2 linked regions of the Tribolium castaneum genome follow. The protein of the gene in region 1 purifies or fractionates together with the protein of each later gene. This does not show direct contact. Links are inferred from orthologs where the notes say so. Each region holds a gene or a part of one and is shown in the gene's direction. Other genes may lie near its edges.

Evidence for each region. The genes of interacting proteins can lie anywhere in the genome.
Region 2: the proteins of CSN4 (region 1) and mahj purify together in Homo sapiens (affinity purification with mass spectrometry; 4 studies listed by BioGRID, with this or other methods). This does not show direct contact. The link is inferred for Tribolium castaneum from reciprocal best matches to the Homo sapiens genes COPS4 and DCAF1.

Annotation. Positions count from the first base shown.
Region 1 is NC_087399.1:5,890,297-5,897,691, forward strand, and holds the end of CSN4 (COP9 signalosome complex subunit 4), read left to right. Parts: intron 1-398; coding exon of another isoform or gene 399-561; intron 562-608; coding exon of another isoform or gene 609-882; intron 883-934; coding exon of another isoform or gene 935-974; exon of another isoform or gene 975-1,089; intron 1,090-1,214; exon of another isoform or gene 1,215-1,354; coding exon of another isoform or gene 1,355-1,437; intron 1,438-1,483; coding exon 1,484-1,563; intron 1,564-1,612; coding exon 1,613-2,316; intron 2,317-3,724; coding exon 3,725-3,953; intron 3,954-4,003; coding exon 4,004-4,140; 3' UTR 4,141-4,233; downstream 4,234-7,395. Other genes in the region: sds22 (protein phosphatase 1 regulatory subunit 7), read right to left, coding at 399-561, 609-882, 935-974; voltage-dependent anion-selective channel, read right to left, coding at 4,443-4,534, 4,589-4,806, 5,517-6,067, 6,902-7,093. UniProt on the Homo sapiens protein: Component of the COP9 signalosome complex (CSN), a complex involved in various cellular and developmental processes.
Region 2 is NC_087398.1:980,140-988,072, reverse strand, and holds the end of mahj (protein mahjong), read left to right. Parts: coding exon 1-10; intron 11-56; coding exon 57-232; intron 233-283; coding exon 284-360; intron 361-408; coding exon 409-944; intron 945-1,011; coding exon 1,012-1,150; intron 1,151-1,200; coding exon 1,201-1,699; intron 1,700-1,750; coding exon 1,751-1,860; intron 1,861-1,906; coding exon 1,907-2,186; intron 2,187-2,240; coding exon 2,241-2,587; intron 2,588-2,636; coding exon 2,637-2,755; intron 2,756-2,809; coding exon 2,810-3,043; intron 3,044-3,092; coding exon 3,093-3,491; intron 3,492-3,694; coding exon 3,695-3,779; intron 3,780-3,825; coding exon 3,826-4,035; intron 4,036-4,080; coding exon 4,081-4,440; intron 4,441-4,488; coding exon 4,489-4,558; intron 4,559-4,600; coding exon 4,601-4,788; 3' UTR 4,789-4,998; downstream 4,999-7,933. Other genes in the region: trypsin-3, read right to left, coding at 5,157-5,441, 5,501-5,842, 5,901-6,064, 6,548-6,767, 6,821-7,033. UniProt on the Homo sapiens protein: Acts both as a substrate recognition component of E3 ubiquitin-protein ligase complexes and as an atypical serine/threonine-protein kinase, playing key roles in various processes such as cell cycle, telomerase regulation and histone modification.

The DNA of each region.
Region 1 (7,395 bases):
AAAATGTTAGGAAGAAAATTGTAGAGAATTAAATTTCCTACAAAAAAGTCCGCGAGACCATGTTCCTATCTTGAACCATTTAGGCCCCAAAGTCGTTCAAAGACGCTCAAGCAACGGATTTCCTTAATTTTGCCGGTGGTCAAGTATTGGAAAGTTAATTCGTACCTAAACTATTAAAGATAGAAATATGGTGTCGCGGACTTTTTTGTAGAAAATTTTATTCTCTACAACTTTGTTCCTTACACTTTTTTTGTATCTTCAACTGTATTCGCAGAGCTCGCAGAAATATAAGGTGGAACGCAAATTGATAATTCTAAGCGATAACATTTATCAAAACGCTGGGAATACGGCGCAGTTTCGTCTCCTAAGTTATTATCCTCCATAGGATAAACACTTACCCTAATTTTGTTGTCCCCCAGCTCCAGCATTGTCAGCTTCTGCAAGTGCTTCACATTTTTGATTTTGCTGATTTTGTTCGACGACAGGAAGAGTTTTTCTAAATTGTGCAAATTCTCCAGTCCCTCAATCTCCTTGATACGATTAAACGACAAATCTAGAATCCTTTTAAAGCCATATTTCGCAACATTCACAAATGAGTCACTCCTTACTCTAAATTAACCAAACATCCCAGATTTTCCATTTTGACGATTTGGTTATCGTACAATTCCAATTCGCGGAGCGTGACTAACGTGTCCAAATTCTCAATTTTGGTGATCAAATTCCACCTCAGGAAGAGGCGCTCGATTTGTGTCAAGGGCTCAAGGTTTTCGAGCTTGCTGATCCTGCCATGGTTTAGGTCCAGCTCAAGGGTGTCCGGGTCTATTACCATTATTTCGTTGACAGTGGCCCCTTTTTCCTTATTGTCGTTCGAAGTGGACGTCTCTGGGGCTAACAATGAGCATGGACTTTCGACGAAAGTAACGAATTCTCTTACCGGGCTCGGGGGAACTCTCGTTTTGTTGCGGAGAAGGCATTTTTCGCACTCACACTGGACTATTTCTGTTTATTGCAATTTAATTAAGTGACTAATTTAAAGGCGGGTGACAGCAAACATCCGTGACGTTTGAGTTTGACTTCAACACGTGCAGCCAACCTATTAAATCAAATCGTCTTCCCCTTAACCCCTTATTCACACGTTAATTAAAGTAAACTGTACTTGCAATTGGTCGCAAGTATTTATTTACAGAGCAAAGACAACAATTTACTTGCAAGTGTGTTTTTTAGACAAAATTACCACAACCGGCAATAGCGTTGTGTTGGCAATTGCTGTTTTGTCAGTCATTTGTCAAAAACTACTTTTAGTTAAATTAAAATAATTTATTATTATTTGTGGCCAAAATAGTAGCGGAGCACCATGTCGGAGAAAAGCGCGGCTATCCGCACCCAACTCTCCAACATAATCGCGTCCGGGGGCTCCCACAAAGACCAGGCCGAAAAGTGAGGTTATGTAAAAAAAATTAAAAAAAACATTAATTTTTAACAGATATCGCGGTATTCTTGAGAACATCCTCGCCGGTTCGGGCCCCGAGCTGACCGAAGGCTTGCAGATATTCATCGAAGCAAGTCCGTACCCCCCACAGCCACCAACCCAGTCTAACTCAAGTCGTTTCAGTTGTCAATGAGAACGTTAGTTTGGTCATCTCGCGCCAAATCCTGACCGAAATAAGCTCGCATTTGATGAAACTACCCGACGATGTTTCCAAAACTGTCTCACACTTTATGCTTGAGAAGGTGCAACCCCGGGTTATTTCGTTTGAGGAGCAGGTGGCAAGTATTCGCCAACATTTGGCCGATATCTACGAACGTAACCACATGTGGCGCGAGGCTGCAGCTGTCCTGGTGGGAATCCCGCTCGAAACCGGCCAGAAACAATACACCGTGGATTACAAACTTGAAACGTATTTGAAAATCGCGAGGTTGTATCTTGAGGATGACGATCCGGTCCAGGCTGAGGCTTTCATCAACCGGGCGTCGCTGCTTCAGGCCGAGTCACGGAATGAGCAGCTTCAAATTTATTACAAAGTTTGTTATGCTCGAGTTTTGGATTATCGGCGGAAGTTTATTGAGGCGGCTCAGAGATACAATGAATTGTCCTATAGGACGATTGTTCATGAAGATGAACGCATGACAGCCCTTCGGAATGCTTTAGTTTGCACTGTTTTGGCTTCAGCGGGGCAACAAAGATCGCGCATGTTGGCCACACTGTTCAAGGACGAGAGGTGCCAACAGTTGCCAGCAGTGGCGATTTTGGAAAAAATGTACCTCGAAAGAATCATCAGGAGGTCCGAATTGAGGGATTTTGAGGCCTTGTTGCAGGTACGTGTATAAAAAGTGTTGTATTGTTAGTTGCATAACTATGATAAATTTGTATTTTTTTGAGTCCTTTGTACAATTAAATACTGAAAAATTATTGACATAAAAGTATCATCTTGAATTAAATTGATTGAAACAAGTTTTAAAGAAAATCTGCAAAAGCAATAAAAATACTAATACCATTTGTTAATTTGATAATCAGTATTATTAATTATTATTAATATTATAAATAAAATTATTATTATTAATTATCACCCTTACAAACGTATAATCATAAAATGAAGATGAATGTATTCAAATACCAACACAAGTAATATCTCTCTTAAGGGACACCTCCGATAAGCGGACCCCTCTGACAAACGGGCCTTTTTTTAGATAATGTATTTTAAGCGGACGCTCCAATAAACGGACGCGCACAATGCAATTCAAATCCTTGGAAACAAAATATCTCCTTTAAGCGGACAGCACATCATACGCGCGTGTGATTAATAGTTATTATGACAATTGATCAAAAAAATCGGGGAATCACATAAGTAGGTAGTACATGTTTTATGGAAGTGTAACGTTTGTGAAAAGCGAAGCCTTTTATTTTAGTTTGTTTTTATATATAAATTGCTATTTCTTTTCCATTAAGCGGACAAAAAGCATGTCGGTGTCCGCTTATGGGAGGTTTCACTGTAACCCTAACTTTTTTCTCAGATGATTTATTCCCGATGTCATTTTAGGAACATTTTTTTGTCTCATTAAAGTATTATGGTGAAATAAGATTGCTGGTTTAGCACGTTTTAGGTTTCTGTTTAATCAGAGCCGGATTACGGTTACACTTTGTGTAATGCATGTGCTTTAAATAGTTCACACAGGGAAAAATGAAATGTGTGTTAAGTTATCTACTGATATTTCCTCCTTGTAAATGCCGATGAACTCCACTGTGAGTTTAATTTAAGCAAAGCTGCGTTAAATTTAACCTTTGTCTACTTTTGACTTAGGTTTAGTACCAATAAAAACGATTTAATTAAAGTTCTTAATTGATTTCATATTTATTTAATTGATTTTTTATTTACAAAAAATGAATTTCATAATACTGTTGACGTCGATATTTGTCTACGTCGAAATAATGCGCGCCGAGACGGATTCCAGAAATCTAATAATAAACTGATCATCTATATAACATCTCACGAGGTTATTTACGTGTGAGAATAAAAAAGTAATGTGATGCAACGGAGCAACTAATTGAGGATAATACTCTTTATTGTTTAATATCGTCACACTTTGTAAACACAGTGATGCATGAGTTGTTTGCCGTAATTGCAGGTCTTATCACTTGCTTAATTAACGGGAATTAACTAACGCTTTATTATCACAATGTTGCAAAGGTTAAGCGACCTCTTATAAAACTGTCGATTCATTGTAGCCCCACCAAAAGGCGAGCACCATTGATGGGTCAACAATTCTGGACCGCGCCGTTATCGAACACAATCTCCTGTCTGCTAGTAAACTTTATAATAATATTAGTTTCGAAGAGTTGGGAGCTTTGCTCGAAATACACCCTTCCAAGGCTGAAAAAATCGCAAGTCAGATGATAACCGAAGGGCGAATGAACGGTTACATTGACCAAATCGATTCAATCGTCCACTTTGAAAGTACTAAAGCTGGTGTTGTTTACGATGTGTATTTGATCGCTTTGTTCCAGCTCGTGAAACTTTGCCCCAGTGGGACAAACAAATCCAGTCTCTCTGCTACCAGGTGAATTCAATCATTGAATCAATCGCAAAAAGCGAGCCCGAATGGATCAGTAAGGTGATGGAGGAGCAGATGGATCTTAAGTGAAACGTGTCTTTTGTAAATTACATTTTATTTGTTTTACAATACTTGTCATAATCATAAAACAATTGAATTAAAAGCTTGCACAAGTAAAAAACACGTGTGGGAAGTAGCAATTTTTTGAGAAGTATCCGGAAACGGTAACAAAAGGACGACTTCACTAAAACTACTACAAACTGAAAATACAAGACGTATTCATGTATATGTTTTAATACTAAAAAGTCCCATAGAACAATTAAAATATCTACAATACAGCAGGCTGAAACGTGTCTTGGTTCTAATACAATTTGGAACTGACGAATCTCTGATTAAGCCTCTAACTCAACGGCCAGACCGATCTTGTGGCCGCCGTTATTGAAGTTCTTGCCGTCAATGAGGGCCGACAAAGTTAGAGTCACACCTGCCAACCAAACAAAGCCAATCAACCCCCGACCAACCTCCCCCAACTACCCACCTTCACGCAAACGCTGCTGATACCCCAAACCGATCTGACTGGAATTGTTGACCTTGGCGCGAATCGCGGCGTCTTGATCCAAGTCGTATTTAGCCCCTATTCCGAACTTGGTGTTGTTGCTGCCAGCAGACCACGCCAACTGGATGCCGGTCTCCAACTTTGGGGACAACTTCTGATAAATGGACCCTCCGAACTCCTGGCCGTCATCGCTGTGATCACTAAACGTTACAAAAGGGGATTTAAACGGGGATCAGGGAGATAAAGGGCCCCTCGGGATCTGGCGGGGTTTGGGACAGTCAGGTTGGTATCACCTACAGTGGCACACCCGGGGGGGTTACATGATTTAAATTTTAAACTTGTTTATATATACATTAAAAAAAAACAAACATGCGTCGCGTAAGTAGGTGTGTATAAAAATAAAACGTCAGTAAACTTTTTTCTGGATAAAACGGTAAAAGAAACAAAAAAATCTTTAAAGTTGTTCTATTCTTTAAAATTATTACGAAAAGACGCAGAATCCCATTTTGAATTCTTTTAAAACCGTCCAAAATCATTTACACGAAATTTTGGTACTCTGATTAGTTTCAAGGCAAATACATCGAACCAATGTAACCTTTGATTCGCCAGAAATGTATTATTAAATTTCAATTTTCAACCCTCTTTTAGATTCAGCAATTTCAAACTTAGAAGAAAGATTTACAAAAATATTACAGAATTTTTAAATTCGGAAAAAATTGAACACTACAGGACAAAATAGATTAAATGGTTTAATTTCTTTATAAATCCACCGCGGTATTGAAGTAATTTGTGATGAAGTTTTACATATTTTGAGTCCACGAAGAAGATGTTTTTAAATTTTTATACAAATTTGTGAATATTAATGTTTGGCCCCCTCAAAAAACTTGTGAGTGCGCCACTGATCACTTACACATTAGTGTGGAGAATGAAGTCTCCAGTGGAGAAACCTAGGGCGAAGTTGTTTTTGGTGAGTTTGGACTTTTGGGTGTCGAAAGCCGTTTGGTAACCCGCCAGCCAGCCTTGGTGCCCCACGACGGCAGCCGCCTGGATCAAGGGCCCACTGGAGTCCAAATCAACGTCGCAGTTGAGGGCCACCCTATCGTTGGTAAACGCGGTTTTGACGCGAGCTGACTTGCTCCCAGTCTGTGGCGAAAAGGTCAGATCTGAGGACAACTTCAAGCCTTTGAGGAGCTGATCCTGGATCGCAACTTCCGTAGCCAGAGTATTATCCGTGTTCCACTTTTCGGAGAACGTCAAACCGTACTCTTTAACCTTATATTTGGTCTCCAACGACCCGAAAACCTTCCCCGACTCCTGGTTAGACACACCCCCAGTGTTGAACTCCACCCCTGAGCCAGTCTTCGTCTTGCAATCCAGCTTGATGAGCCCGAAGTGGTAGCCCTTCCCGAACACATCTTTGGCCTTCTTGCCGAGATCGGAGTACGGTGGTGGGGCCATTATCTGCAACCATAGACCCGTTCAGAAATAACCCTAACCTTGACTTTGTCCGATTTAGTTTGACAATTGTGGAAGTGGCTCCAGCTCCACCTCGCGACCCCAACCGCAACCAAGCGGCGTTGGCCCCCGCCTGGGGGCCCCATTGCACCCCAACGGGACCGCGGCCGCCCAAGGTCGCGCCACGGGGCCACGCCGCCCCACCCCTCCCGCCACCGCGATTTTCCGAGAAAATCCGGAAAATCAATCGAGTCACGTCTTACATAACAAGCGAGGATCGGGGCACAGGCCACTTGACCGGCCACCCGGGGCTGCTGGGAGCCGCAAGTGCGGGACGTGGCCGTTCATGTGACCGTTTCGCACCATTTCGCAAAATTGGCTCACCTGGGCTGAATTAAATCGGGTTTGAAACTAAAAGGGCCGACTTATTGCGTTGTTCGAGTGGGAATAGGACCGGCGCTAGTTTCGAAATCGTTCACCGGGTGGGTATTTCAAGCGTTTTAACAGTTATTTTGCGGACAACCGGACCCACAAACGAGAACGTTCTATTGCTGTCTTTTGCTAGACGAGGATGGCGCGGACGAGGCGTGCGGCGTTGCCACATCAGCGACCCCACTTGGTGCCGATTTCCAAGTCCCTGTACCACTAATCACTGATTTTTTTCCCTAATCGGGACAACAAAGCACATTTGTTGGATATTATCGCAAATTACGTAATCCACCAGCTGTTCGATAAACTTGCGGAAAGTGCGCCAGGGCACAACCCGGCAACGCCGCCCTACAGTGTGGCCAAGTTGCGTTTTTGAAAATTGGTCCCAAAATCGAATCAAATTATACAAACCAGGCGTTCTTCGCCCGATAACGAGGGGCAACAGCTGGGCGAGCACGTCTTTTTCCAGTCCCCGACCTTAGGGTTAGGGTCGTACTGCAAGCGCCTAACTTCAACTTTTGGTTTTTCATTTTTAACGTCCGAATCTCGTACTTTGGGGTACCCGAACTTCTTCTCCTCACTTTTGGTTAGAGGATTTTCCATTTTATGAGAAAACGAACCGATCTTTAGCACTTATTTTCTCGCATTGTGACTATGACATTTGTTTTGGAAAAAAAGACAAGTACGAAACGTCACTTGATTTATTGTTGCCAAGTTCCGGTTGTTTTTCCCGGAAATTTTCATTTCCCCGGATTTTGGGGCCGGGTTAGGGTTTTTGCGTGCGACCGTTGGCAGCGGTTTGAACTAACCCTCATGGGGGTATTTATTAGGGATTTCATTAAATTATATTTTTTGACGTAACAATGACATCTACGCTTGCGCCAGGGTTAGTCAAGCGGCATAGG
Region 2 (7,933 bases), on another chromosome or scaffold:
CACGTTTTAGGTAAGTTTCCGCTTTGGTCTTATCGCAGTTAATTACCAAAAAATAGGGAACAAAACGGACGACTTGTGCCTTTACTACTTCAAAGACTGCGTAGGCTTCAAAATTCCTCGGAATTTTTGACCACGACAAATACTCGACCTTTTGCACACTTATCTTCAATGAAGTCGCCCCCTTATCGCGGTGACGGTGTCGTAAAAGTTTCACCCTCTGGTATTAAAAGGCGTACGTAACGACACCCTATTGTATTTTACCCTTCAATAATTATTCTTACAGCCCGCGAGAATGGAGTTATTCCAAATTCGAAAACAACACTTAATAAAGAAAACACTGATGTGATTAACACTAGTGAGGTAAGCGCGCCTTTTCCTCCTCGTGATATGGTCTCACGTTTAATACAGTTATCAGATTCGGAAAGCGGCCAAAAACGCAAAAAACTAAAGCTGGAGCACAATTCAAGCGAAGCTGATGAAGGCTCTCCTCAAAAACCCTTCCTATTTAACGAAACGAGCAATTCGTCGTGGGCAGAGCTTGAAAGTTTTATGATTGGAACCGTGCAAATTTTTCCGCCAACTATAGCAACGCGTCAAATACTCATTTTACGTTATTTGACACCGTTGGGTGAATATCAGGAGTTTTTGAGTCATGTTTTCGAAAATGACGCTCTTAGTTTGGTCTTAAAGTATGTGAATGTCCGAGCGACTAAAGAAGCAAGACTTGCATTTGAAGCCTTGAAATATCTTGCTGCTCTTTTATGCCACAAAAAATTCTCGATTGAGTTTATTCAAATGGATGGTCTTGAGGCACTTCTGGAGGTGCCAAGGCCGTCAATATCAGCCACTGGGGTCTCGATTTGTTTGTACTATTTGGGGTATTGTGAGGAGGCAATGGAGAGGGTTTGTCTGCTTCCGAAATACATGATCACCAGTTTAGTCAAGTAAGTCTAAGTTATACCTTACAGTTTGTAAAATCAATTAAAACTCATAATTTAAAAAAAATCTTAGGTATGCTTTATGGCTTTTGGAATGCTCACACGATTCGGGCCGATGTCATGCTATAATGTTTTTCGGTCTCACGTTTCAATTCAAAGTGATTTTGGAGGAATTTGATGCTCATGATGGGTTACGAAAGTTACACAATGTGGTAAGTTTATCCCAAGTAAAAAAAATTGTTTGCTAGAGTTATATGTACAGATTTCTACTTTATCAATTTTACTGCCGGACACCGATACGACTCAACTAAACGAAGATCAAGAGTGCGCCGCTCGTCAAATCGTTCGCCACGTTTGTGTTGCATACCGTCGTTACCTTGAAGCTCATCTAAACCTAAAAGTAGAACCAATTAAAAGATCACAACTTAGACTTAACGAAAAAATGGCACAGCCGCCTTTACCGGCGCAGCCGAGCTACAAACCGTACAAGTCATCGCCTGAAGAGGTGCAACAGAACGTCGAAACGTTGTTGCAATATATGCCGTTTCGGTGCCATTGGACGCCAGTTGATCAGTTACTCAAATTAGGGGGAATCACACTCTTGTTGAAAATAATCGCGTTTGCGTATGAGTGGAATTATAGTGGGAGGGCTGAGACGGTCAGGTCGGCTTTGGATACGTTGGCTATTGCGTGTGTGATGCCTAAAGTTCAATTGTTATTTTGTGATAGGGTGGAATTGCCAGAGGAGAGTGCCACAGTTGGTACGAGAAAATCACAGTTTTGGGATTTTTTATTGTTTTTTTCTTCTGTAGGGATTAATATTATTTTGGGGGCCGCTGAGGGTGAAATAGTGGCCGATGCTGATGTACAAAAGGCTGCGCTTCGAGTCATTGTCAATTGTGTGTGTGCCCCCATAAATAGGGTACGTTTTTTACCGTTTCCAGACGTTTGTTTGATTTTTTTGTTAGGTTGGTGGTACTTTAACCCGATATTCGGCCACGGTTAACAGCCCAATTAAGAAAATTAAACTCAAAAGTAGCGAAGAATTGATTCAGAGAGTTTGGGATTGTGTCAGGTCTAATAGTGGTATTATGGTTTTGTTGCAATTAATGAATATTAAAACACCAATCACTGATGCGGACTGTATACGAACTTTGGCTTGTAAAGCATTGGCCGGCTTAGCACGGTCGGAAACTGTCCGACAGATCGTGTCAAAATTACCGCTTTTTACGAGCGGACAACTGCAGAGTAAGTCTTGATACGAGGCGAATCCGAGTGGGGTAACAACTGACTTAATTGCAGATTTAATGAGGGACCCAATTTTGCAAGAAAAACGCCAAGAACATGTGACTTTCCAAAAATATGCACTTGAACTTTTGGAACGACTTTCGGGGAAAACGAAACATCGGGGAAATGACTTGGAAGTTTCTTTAGCCAACATACATAGAGCTAACGTTGTGGCTCAGACTAAAATTCAATTCAATGATCGGCAATTGTTACAACTCATCCACCAACATTTAATTACGAAAGGTTGTCCAGAAACGGCCTCTATGTTAGTGAAGGAAGCAAATTTGGGAAACTCAGTCACGCCCATTTCAACAAATCAACCAACCAAATTCCGATACTCGTCCACTCTAACACCATCTAGGGTAAGTAGCAATTCACCAAAGCTATAATTAAGTGTAACAAATGTCTTAGCTTAAGTTAAATTTCACTCCAATGCAACACCGCACAATACCGCAGTCACCAGTGCAAAAGGAGGAGACATCGTTTATTAATAGTTCCAACTGTACTTCCCCTGCTATTAAATTAATAAAGTATGGTCGTCATTGTAGATAATTATCATATTTTTTGCTAAGAAAAAATTTCAGGAAACACCAAAATCAAGTGGTCGCGACACCACCGGTCCAAAACTCCCGATTACAGAAACAAACGAATAGCGATGTTGTAGTTAGGGTGCCGAGTCAGAGCTTGCTTGACGAACCGACGAATCCACCCGAACAGCCCCGAGTCACGCTCGATTCGATCATAACCGAGTATTTAACCAATCAGCATGCGTTATGTAAAAACCCCATGGCCAACTGTCCCAAATTCAATCTCTTTATGTAAGTTTAAACTCCTATGATTGGTTGTGTTTCTGATGGTGTTTTCTAGTCCACATAAATGCCCAGACCCTAAACCAAAGATAGCCTCAGCCAATAATTTTGTGGTGAGGTGTGCGCGACGTGCTATTGGGTATCAGTCCAAGTCTATGGACCGGAAATTTATTCATTCGAGATTTTGTCCAGTTCAAACGATTCGGTCGTCGTCCGATGGCGATTTCTTCACTTGTGCGAAATTTTTACCGGGTGATAAAAGCATAATCGTGGGTGATTACAGTGGTGATATACGAATTTTTAATCTGCATACTGGAAATGAAGAGTTTATGTTTCAAACGCACGATAATTATATCGTTCATTTGGAGCCTAACAGGAGTGGGGAGTTTCTGTTGACGAGTTCCACGTGGGGGCGGCCTCTGTCCGCACTCTGGGCCATAAGGAACTCCGAGATGAAGTAAGTTTTTTACTTTAAGTCGAACTTAAAATTTTTTTGCGAAACTCGAAAATATCAAAAACAATTGTCTAAAAAATTAATTCAACTCGCAAAGCGATTTTTTTAACCGTTTGTATAAAACCATACAGTTGGTGGTCTGATTTGACCACTCGATGACCAGAAATGTTCGGTTCTGCGAATTTAGCGTCTAACTTGTGGTTTAGGTTTGCGCTGGACGATGAAGAACATGTTGAGTTTAGTAAAGTGACACAGGAGCGGATTGTGGCGACTAAACTTGAAGTTGCAACAGTGAGTAACACTTCACAGTTTGGCAAATTATAATTTTTTCAATTAGATTTACGACGCCGTCACGGGCCAATCAATCTTGCGTTTAGTTCCTACAGATAGTAACCAATACACTAGAAATAAAGCCACATTTAGCCCGTTCGATGATTTGGTTTTATCAGATGGTGTGCTTTTCGATGTCAATTCGGGCAAACAGATTCACAAGTTGGATAAGTTGAATCAGACCCAAAGTGGGGTGTTCCACCCTAACGGCTTAGAGGTACTTTCGCTTTTTTTGCTTAGGGAAATACATAGTTAATTGTAGATTGTATCAAATACTGAGGTTTGGGATGTGCGAACTTTTCATTTGTTGAAAACAGTGCCAGTTTTGAATCAACGTACTGCCGTTTTTTCACCGGTCAATAGTGCGATTTATGCCATTTCGATGGAACAGGAATTGGATAATGGTGACTCGACATTCGATTCGAGTTTTAAAACAGTGGATGCGATCGATTACTCGAGTATTGCTACTATTGACGTTAAGAAAAACATCTACGATTTGGCGGTTAATCGGTTCGATACGCAAATTGTGATTGTGGAGAATCAGGGGGTTTACCAGTCGGTTCAAGAGTCCGTGGTGCGGATCTATGATGTCGGGAGGAAGCGAGACGATGAGGATGAACAAGTAAAAAGTTTAAGTTGTGGTTGCGTTTTTGTTTATTTTTTGATGCAGGATGAAGAGGACGAGGAAGAGGAGGATGATGATATGGATGGGAGTGACGATGACGGTTCCGATAATGATGGTAATTGCAGAAAAGTGGCAAAAGTAATATAATGTTTTGCAGTCGATGTTGATTTTCTAGATCGATTGATGCTCAACGTGGGCGGGAATAACGACAACAACGATAATAACGCCAACAATGATGATGACAATGATGAGGACGATAATTTCTTCGATAGTGAGTCTGATAGTTGGACGACTACGTCGACTGGCTCTGATGATTCGTTCACGGATGATATGTTCGATTTTTGAGCGAACCGTAAAATAAGGTTTAAATGTGATAGCAATTCGAAAATAGTTAATTGGATGAGTGGGCGTGTGTCTGTTTTTTATAAGGAAAACGGCATTTGATGATTTTCCAGCTTGTGGTGTCAAGTGTGTTTTTAAATGTGAGCCGAGTTTGGAATTATGTTGAACATTGTGTATTATATTTCATAAATAAATACAATTTCAAAGGAACAAGCGTTTGATTTCGTGCCAAAAATCCTAGGACATTGTCCCCTTGCGTCAGCACAATTACGACGGACGGGTCAATAAAACCATCACTTTTTACAAATCAAGTTTATTGCTCAGTTAATGTCAAAAATAGCTATAAAAGTGTTAAATTTGCGAATACTGAATTATGAGTAGTGGTCCATCACGTAATAGATCCACTTTAGGTAGTTAAACACAGTGGTGTAAATGCCGTACTTGTTTTTCAAACCACAGCCGTCCCCAAAACTTGTGATGCCTTGGACGCTGTATGCGAGTCTTGAACGCCGTTTGAAGGGGCACATGAGCCCCCCGCCACTGTCCCCGGCGCAAGTGTCGGCCTCCCCTGACGACCAACCAGCACATAACATGTTGGGGGTGATGAGGAAGTGGCGGTAGGAACGGCGGCAGACGCTCGCCGCCACAATAGGAAGCTGGAAAAATAGTATATTAAAAAACTTTTGGAAATTTGGAGAAAAATTATAGCAGTCACCTTGGCCTCGTGCAGCGTGTGGGTGCCGTAGGTGTCGCTGGTCCTGACCTTGCCCCAGCCCATGACGGAGCAAACCTCCGAGGGCCTGGGCCTGGTCTTGGGCAGGCAAGCGATGGGGAGATTAACACTCCTTGGTAGTTGCAGTAGGGCAATGTCATTATCCACCGTTTTGTGGTTGAACTTCGGATGCTGGAAAATCGTGTGAACAGTCATCTCGAGCTCGCGTCCATCTCGAGCCCTTAGGTCATGTTCGTTCAGTCTTACGCGTAAAATCGGACGTATGCAATGACTAGCTGTGAGGACCCAACGTGGGCCTATGAGAGTGCCTCCGCAGAACACTTCCTAAAATTTATAGCCGAGGTTATCAAGCGTTGAAATTGACCCATTTCGGGATACCTACGTAGTATTTGTTTAAAATGGCAACGTGCCAAGGCCACTTGTACTTCTTCGATTCGGTGCCGCCGATGATTTTCAGCATTCGCGATTTGCGGAAAGGCTGCCCACAGCGGCGGCGCTGCGGGAGGCGGCGGTCCAAGTTGTTGTAGTGGTAGTAGCGGTTGCTTTCTTTAAAAGGAAACGAAATCATATGCAGAAACCGCTTTAATGAGGTGACCACAACTCTAATTTTGGAAAACTGCCTAATTTGAAACTTCTTAATCAGCGCACAATGCTTTTGGAGCAGAAATTATTAGGTCTAGAACGTTTTTTTTTACCTGGACTAGAAAAAAGCAAGTGGTAATGTAGTACATTAGTCCGTAATGATTACTATACTTAGAGGGTGATTCAAAATTGGTTTTGTTATAATTAAAATTAACTAATTTTATCCTTCATATTTTTAAGGGACTTGATATTGTATTAATAATCTTTTTGCTAGAGCAAATAGTTTTGGCAAAAATCGCTCGGTTCTAGGTATATTTTCGCCCAACGCTGTGTTTATATATTTTTATCATTATTTACTAACCAGCTTTATGATTATTTATTTATTGAACCGCAAATATTTGAACAAAAAGGGACCCGTTTTCTATTCGTGGATAATTCCTTACGCACCGTATGCGTCTTGGTTATCCAACAAGTTCAGAACGTAGTTTTCACACATGGAATTGTCGTGGTAGCAGTAGGCCGTCTGCTCCTGCTGCTTCTTCCTGCAGCGTCCCGGCTTCCTGCAAATCCTGATCCTCTGCGTCCTGCAATTCTCCGAACAGGGCGACCAGTTGGACCATTTGCTCCAAATGCGAGAAGGCGCTTGACGCAGCAAATGGCTACTATCCTAAGACAATGAATCCGTCTTAAAAAACACACTTGTGAATCCCCCAAACATACTTCGTTCAATTGTACGACCCGGAATTGTTTTTTCTGGCGCGCTTTCCTCTTGCAGCGTTTCTTCCCGCAGGGTTTTTCTTCGTAAATGCGGGAATCCTCGCATTTGGGGGAAATACACTTCTTGATCCTTCTCTGAATGCAGTCGATGCAACGGCTCCAGGGGGACCAAGGCGAGTAGCGCGCTTCGGAAATTTGGAGGTCGTGATGATGGGTCTGAAAATATGGCTTGCGTGACCCAATTTGGAGACTGCTAAATCGATTCAATTGCAGTTGTGCAAGGTTTTAAGGCGGAAGTGTGGGAAAATTGGAGTCATTTCCGGATTTATTTTTGGTTTCGCACAGTTTGGCGCGCGTTGGGACAATTTATATTGGGGCAATTAAGGGGAGAGGCTCAAAAAGGCCCTTGTTTTATTTAGACTAAACAAATAATTAAAGGCGGGATAAGAGCTCATTCAGGATTTGGTGATTTATTTATTTCAGGTTAAGTTTGGCGTAACACGCATTTTTACACACTTATTTATTTTAATAATGCGGAGAACGGAAGACACAAAGTTCAAGTTTAAAAAAATAAAAGTAAATAATAAACGAATTTTGATAAAAAAACGGTAACACCGCATTTGAGATTGATCTATAGTTACAAACAACGTATATTTTGGTGACTTGACCCAGTTAAAAACCTATTGTTCTGTTTCATTTTTGTAATAATTAAATGGAGCTGTGATTAGGTTGATTACGTGATAATACTCAATACGGCCCTGAGTTCGCGATGACACCCAGATTTATGGACGCTTTCGGTTTTATTTTAGTACCAAGCAGATTTATTAGAGCAACCATTTAAAAGGAATTTTTCATAATTGCTCGTATTTGTAGCGCGATCATTAAAATTTTTCTTCCTGAAATACTATTATTGTAAACTTGACTTGGCTAAATTTAAATTTCAAGACCAAATTATTTACACATCGCATCCTCTATAAAGTGAGAAAATAATCAAATTACAATCGTAGGCGATTTTGTAATTATTAAACGTATTCTATTTCAAAATATTTATTTATGTGGCAAAGTGAATTATTGCTGTATACAAAATATTTTTTATTGGTTATTAAGTCGCAATAA